Sus scrofa: one gene and its partner. The protein of the gene in region 1 purifies or fractionates together with the protein of each later gene. This does not show direct contact. Links are inferred from orthologs where the notes say so. Each region holds a gene or a part of one and is shown on either strand. Other genes may lie near its edges.

Region 1 (3,248 bases):
TTTCCTGTTTTTGTTCCTCTTCCTCCTGTTCTTTCTCTGCATCACTATGAACTATACCTATTTCCTTTTCCTCTTCCTCTCCTGCTTCCTCTATTTCTACATCATTGTGCTGATTACCTGTCTCCTCCAACTCTTCCTCTCGCTGAGCCACCTTACCCTCTTCTTGTTCCGACTTCTGTTCTTCATTACGCACCACCTGATGCTCTTTTTCCTTCATTGATTGTCTTCTAGGCCTAGCCTCCATTTTATTTATTTGTTCTGCAAATTCGATGCGTCTACCTTCAAATAAAGCTAAAGAATAAAAATGTATGTGTAAAGTTTACTAACAATGGTTTGAAAATTCAAAGTCATAAACTGACACCTGGTCACAAATTATCACTGAGCTTAATTGAAATGTCTTTTTTGCAAAGAGATGATGACAAAAAATTATGCCAAGTCAGTTTATGGTATCATATTATGCATTAATTTTTGATTCCAAGGAGAGACAAATCAATCTAATCACCGTCTTAGCAGTGTATACTCTTCTATGTGTGCTCCCTCTATGGACTACATCAATGCTGACTTTTTTTCCTTGATTCATTAGCATTTATATCTGGTCATTAGGAGCATCAAGCAAAAAAAGAAGTCATCTCATTCAAATGCTTAAGAACTAAATGTGCATTAAGCACCACCTACAGTATATAAATTTTGGGTTAAAATCTATCATGAAAACAAATGCTCCTGCGTATCAAACACATTAACATCTTAGAATATCGTTCTAAAAAATTAACTACTGAATCACAATTGTTACAGAAAACAAACATATGTATTTATGAGTGTGTTACCTTACCCATTAAAGAAATTTCCACGCACCTCTCCACTGCACACTTACCATTCATTTTTCTCTGTGACTCTTCTATCAGTTTTTGGGTAGCTGGACACATTCTTCCAGGAATATAGAACAAATGGGGCTTTGTCTTAGTTCTTATATATTTAATTATCTTGGCATTATGCTCATTCCATTCTTCTTGCTAAAGAAAAGGTAAAAGATCACTGCCTTTGTCATAATAAGGGATCACCAATCTCAGAATTCCAAAATATACTCACCAGCTGCGCAAGCTCAACCTTCTGTTCCAAAAGCCGCAGTTCTGTCTGTTTAGCACGTCTCTCTTCAAACAGTTCTCTCCTCTCATTTTCAACCTGTTTTCTTTCTTCTTCTGCCTGCACTTCAAGTTTTTGTTCAATTTCCTGACGTCTCTTTTGCTAAAGATAAACAATAACCTTTAAAAGCTTATTACACATCCTGATTGTGTGAAACATTAAATTTCTTTTTTTAAGTCTTTTTAGGGCCGTATCCACCGCATGGAAATATGTATTTTAACAGCTGAAGTATCTTTAATGCCTGCCTGTAAGTTGAATTCTTAGTTATCACTTTTTTTTTTTTTTTTTGTCTTTTTAGGGCTGCACTTGTGGCATATGGAAGTTCCCAGGGGTAGAATGAGAGCTGCAGCTTCTGGCCTACACCACAGCCATAACAACACCAGATCTGTGACCTACATGGCAGCTCATGGCAGCAACGCCGGATACTTAACCCACTGAGTGAGGGCAGAGACCAAACCCACATCCTCATGGATACTAGTCGAGTTCTTAACCTGCTGAGCCACAACAGGAACTCCCATGAAACATTAAAATTTTACTGTTGTATGCATACATTTTGCACCTGCAATTTAGAACACCAGCTAATTCAAATGTGGCATTTGAGGTAATCTGCAATTTTTCTTTCAGGAAATGGGGACTAAAGCCTTTTCACGTAAAAATGTTTTTAAAGCCATTAGGGATAATATCAATAGCTGTTCCTTTCCAATATAATTTACGAAAAACCTTAACTAAAAGTTATCCTAAAAAACAAGTACTGTTTATAGGTTATCTTGAGTTATTCTTTCCAAATCAAAGAATTTGTGAAGTGATGTCTTAGTAAATGAAGTAAAAAACTAGTCAACTCTACATTTTAAAAACCCAGACTTATTCTTCAAACATTAAGATACTTTAAGCCTTTTATATTCTCTAATAAAGTTAATATATAAAAGCTGAAATAAAATTTTATCAATCTCCTATAACTGAATTGTTATCTCCCTTTTACTATAGTGCTCCCCTAAGAAGCAATAACGTGGTGTTCAACTCCAAAGACACAATTACAATTCTGTTGCTTCAGTAAAATAAAACCTTCCTAAAAGGTGACACAGTTAAACTAAGAAGGGCAGGGAATATAATCTATGTTTTTGCTTCTAAAGTCCCTCTAAGTGCATTAAGTCTTAAAAATTAGAATTACTGAATTAATTACTGATGATTAACAAGTTCAACTTCCGGTTTGAAAGAATGCACTCTAAGGCCTAAAGAAATGAAGACTTGTCCAAGACAATGGAATGAGATTGATATAGAGCTGAGAACAGAATCCAAGTTCTCCCGAGTCAGACCAAGTCCTCTAAACGATAAGAAGTTCACTAAGTTATTTAACGGCACTTCAAAAAAGACCAATTAATAATTGTAGAAAGTTTCTACAGGTTTTCCTTGGCTTCATGTAGGCTTGCAATTAAACTTTTTTCCCGAAAAAGGAAGTTATCAGTTACCCACTTTTTGAAGCCTTCAATTAAATCTTTTTGGGGGGGGGGCAGGTGCAGCATATATGGAAGTTCCCAGGCTAAGGGTCAAATTGGAGCTGGCCTACCCCAGAGAAATGTGGGATCTGAGCAGAGTCTGTGACCCACAGTTTGAGGTAACGCCAGATCCCTAACCCACTGAGCAAAGCCAGGGACTGAACCCACATCCTCATTCATATGAGTTGGGTTCCTTTCCGTTAAGCTACAACAGGAAGTGGAACTCCCGCAATTAAATCTTAAGAGAACTTTTCAGCTCTTTTTAAAAATATGCAATCAGCTACTTTGAAAACTTAGAGGAAGCAAAGGAAAAAGTGCACATATACCCTTTCAGTAGCAACAGTGGATTCTTGTTTAAATTTCTGAAGCGTGCCCATCAACAAGCCAAATATTCGTCGGTTCCTAAAGAAAAGAAAAAGAAAATCCAATTTCAAAAGGTTCCACTTCATTTAAGACTGCCATTTGCTAGAAGAAACATACAATAGACATAGGAACAATTCCTTAAATTTTCTTTAAATTACATTATTTAACAAGAGTTGTTTTCCTCCAGAAGGATACTAATGATACCTTTGCTTTCCCTTTTCATCCATATTTTGATCCTGGATAAGGTCTCTA
Region 2 (3,821 bases), on another chromosome or scaffold:
GAGAAGATAAAATCACTATACCTAGATGCCTGTGCTTAACCATATCCAAGGAAGAGTTCTTTGTTGAGAATGCTTTTTTATGCTGCCCCTTTTTTAGAAATGTGTAAACCAAACAAACCAAAAAAAAAAAAGGAGTTCCAGTTGTGGCTCAGTGGTTAACAAATCCAACTAGGAACCATGAGGTTTCGAGTTCGATCCCTGGCCTTGCTCAGTGGGTTAAGAATCTGGCATTGCTGTGGCTCTGGCGTAGGCCAGCACTACAGCTCCAATTAGACCCCTAGCCTAGGAACCTCCATATGCCATGGGTGTGGCTCTGGAAAAGACAAAAAAAAAAAAAAAAAAAGAAGACGACGACAAATAAATAAAAGTAAAAACGTGTAAACTGTTTCCACTTTAAATGAAGCAGAACGGGGAGTTCCCGTCGTGGCGCAGTGGAAATGAATCCACTAGGAACCATGAGGTTTCGGGTTCGATCCCTGCCCTTGCTCAGTGGGTTAATGATCCGGTGTTGCCGTGAGCTGTGGTGTAGGTTGCAGACTCAGCTCGGATCCCATGTTGCTGTGGTTCTGGCGTAGGCTGGTGGCTACGGCTCCGATTCGACCCCAGCCTGGGAACCTCCATATGCCGCGGGAGCGCCGAAGAAATAGCAAAAAAGACAAAAAAAAAAACCCCAAAAAACAAAACAAGAAAAAAAAAAAAAAAAGAAGCAGAATGCACATAGTAGGCCCTCAGTAAATATCTTTATCCTCACTGGTTGAGGCCTAGGATTAGGAAAATAGGACTTCCTGGTTATGTGGTTAAACTTTGAAGGCCAAGTTGATTGAATTTTTCTCAGTACCTGGGAATATTGCTTTTATCTAGTGATTGCTAGCACTACGTTACCAGCTTCATTGTAACTCCTCACAGAGCCAAATGTATTATTTTCCTTCTTATAAACAGTTGATACTGAAGTTCCTGTAGTGGCTCAGTGGTTAATGTATCCGACTAGGAATCATGAGGTTGCAGGTTCGATCCCTGGCCTTGCTCAGTGGGTTAAGGATCTGGCGTTGCTGTGAACTGTAGTGTAGGTTGCACACTCTGCCTGGATCCCGAGTTGCTGTGGCTGTGGTGTACTATAGCTCTGATTCGACCCCTAGACTGGAAACCTCCATATGCTGAGGGAAGCGGCCCTAGAAAAGGCAAGAAACAAAAAAACAAAAAAAAAAAAAAACAGTTGATACTTATTTGTTGCTTTAATTTAGTTTAAACATTCTTTCTGATTTTAATGTGCGTAATTAAGTTTGGAACAGAGTTTGAATTACAGTTCTGAATAAATAATATTGCATTACTGTTTTGGATGTATGAAAGCAAGAATAAAAATAAGTATGTCATGCTTACTATTTTATATTTTATCTGGGTCTCAGTCTGCCTCAGATTACTTAAAAGCCAAAGGAACTGATCATCTTTTTTGACAAGAAGACAAAATAAAGAGAAATGTTTTCTTATTGTAATTGAAAAGGATGTATACAGTATGTTCTTAATCCTACACAGTTTACCATTATATGAAACAAATGTATGGGGAAAGGGGTAGTAGCCCAGAATTGCTATTTTAGTCGTTACTAGAGGAAGGTAGTTTAGTTGTTTCCACTGGGAAGACTTGAGTGAAGAAAATTAGTGTCTGGAGTTCCCATTGTGGCTCAGTGGTTAACGAATCCAACTAGGAATCATGAGGTTGTGGGTTCAGTCCCTGGCCTTGCTCAGTGGGTTAGGGATCTGGCGTTACTGTGGCTCTGGCGTAGGCTGGCAGCTGCAGCTCCGATTCGACCCCTAGTCTGGGAACCTCCATGTGCCTCGGGAGCAGCCCTAGAAAAGGCAAAAAGACAAAAAAAAAAAAAAAAGAAAAGAAAAAGAAAATTAGTGTAATTGTTGGGAAATAACAGAAGTGTTGCTGCTTTACCTATCCTCATGGGTTTTGTTTTTTGATTTTTTTGTTTGTTTTTTGTTTTGCTTTTTAGGGTCGCCCGTGGCACATGGAGGTTCCCAGGCTAGGGGTCTAATTGGAGCTACAACTGCCGGCCTACACCACAGCCACAGCAACGCCAGATGCAAGCCTAATCTGCGACCTACACCACAGCTTACAACAATGCCAGATCCTTAACCCACTGATCCGAAGCCAAGGATCAAACCCGCAACCTCATTGTTCCCAGTCAGGTTCATTTCCACTGTGCCACAGTGGAAACTCCCCTCACAAGTTTTTTATAGTCAGACCTTCAATTAGTGTGGCAAAGTCAGTATACAGTTAATGACGCTTCCTAAGAGCTATCAGGAACTCACAGTTGGATCTGGAGTTATTTTAGCTCTTGGGGGAAAAAAACCTTAGGAAACTGTTTATTTTATTTTTCAGTGAAGCAGCAGTGCTTCTTGTCACTTCAAGATGAAAACTGGCAATTCCCTGGACACAAGTTAAGAATAGAGAAGAGAGTTTCATTGCTCCAGTGTTATTTTTCCACAAGGAGGGAGCTTTAGGGAGTGGTCTGCTCAGGCAGACATAATGGGATAGGTGTGATTACCATGCACGCAGACAGCCTGAAATGGGGGTGGTGGGAGGGCTTCTAGAAATAGCACTGAGCAGAAAATTTTCCCCCTTCCTAGCTGAAGTGTCTCTAGCAAACCTTTTGACTTTTTTACGCCTCAGTTTCTGCGCCTGGAAAATGGAATGTTAATTTTGTTGTAATTCGTTTCCATGGTGGCTGGTAGTAAGTGAAATGTCAGAGCACGAAAGCTTCCTTCATTGCTCGTTGGGTCAGCACACACTGTTGAGTTGCGACTGCTCCGCTCCGTGCAGTGATGGCCATAGAGTCATTATGGCGCTCGCTCCCAACGATAGCATCATCAGGGTCCATCCTCCCAGTCACTGATTGTGAAGATCAAATTCTTGGGTTTTTTTGGTTTTTTTTTTTGTCTTTTTGCCTTTTCTAGGGCCGCTCCCAGGCTAGGGGCCTAATCAGAGCCGTAGCCACAGCAACTTGGATCCGAGCTGCGTGTGAATATCCAATTCTCTACGCAATTAAAGACAATGTTGCTTGTTCCTTTGGAGTCTTTTAGGCTTATCACTGGTGCCTCATTTTGTGTATGTGATTTAACTTTCCTCCTCCACGTTTCCCTTCTCTGGCTCTGTACTTTCTAGGAAGCAATTGAAAAGAAAGAACAGCGAGCCAAGCGCTTCCATTTTCGATCAGAAGTAAATCTCTCCCAAAGGAACGTTGCCTTGGACCGAGACATGATGAAGAAAGGTACAGGGTATTTGGGGGGATTTTTTCTACGTAATCCCAGTGAATGACTTTTCCCTGCCATGGCCTCACGCTCTGGCCTTGCCTCGCATGTCCAGTCCTCATCCAGACACTCCCAAAGGAGGGAACTTAGGAATTCTCCATTTCTTAGCTGATCTGTTAAAGTCAAGCTGCATTAGCTGGGTCGCAAATGTTAGAGCTGGAAAAAAGACGTCATGTCTGAGAAGCCCAGAGGACAGCACTGAATTGGTGGCAGAGCTGAGAGTAGAACCTTGCTTTTATGGACCCTTACTCATTTTCTGCTTTTTTCATAGAATTGGTAACTTCTCTTTGCCTTTCTTGGGGGGCTGCACCTGCAGCATATGAAAGTTCCTGGACCAGGGATCTAATCCAAGCCATAGCTGCAGCCTATGCCACAGCTATGGCAACGCTGGATCCTTAAGCCACTGCACCGGTCTTGGGATTGAATTCTCACCACCTCAGAGACAACTCGGATCCTTAACCTGCTGCGCCACAGCAGGAGCTGCTCTTTGTCTTCAGATACAGTGGAAG

Evidence for each region.
Region 2: the proteins of PNN (region 1) and NCBP3 purify together in Homo sapiens (co-immunoprecipitation; 3 studies listed by BioGRID and IntAct, counting the BioPlex papers as one, with this or other methods). This does not show direct contact. The link is inferred for Sus scrofa from reciprocal best matches to the Homo sapiens genes PNN and NCBP3.

What each region holds. Positions count from the first base shown.
Region 1 is NC_010443.5:169,728,551-169,731,798, reverse strand, and holds part of PNN (pinin), read right to left. Parts: coding exon 3,201-3,248; intron 3,036-3,200; coding exon 2,960-3,035; intron 1,243-2,959; coding exon 1,087-1,242; intron 1,011-1,086; coding exon 872-1,010; intron 292-871; coding exon 1-291. UniProt on the Homo sapiens protein: Transcriptional activator binding to the E-box 1 core sequence of the E-cadherin promoter gene; the core-binding sequence is 5'CAGGTG-3'. Capable of reversing CTBP1-mediated transcription repression.
Region 2 is NC_010454.4:49,912,249-49,916,069, reverse strand, and holds part of NCBP3 (nuclear cap-binding protein subunit 3), read left to right. Parts: intron 1-3,166; coding exon 3,167-3,272; intron 3,273-3,821. UniProt on the Homo sapiens protein: Associates with NCBP1/CBP80 to form an alternative cap-binding complex (CBC) which plays a key role in mRNA export. NCBP3 serves as adapter protein linking the capped RNAs (m7GpppG-capped RNA) to NCBP1/CBP80.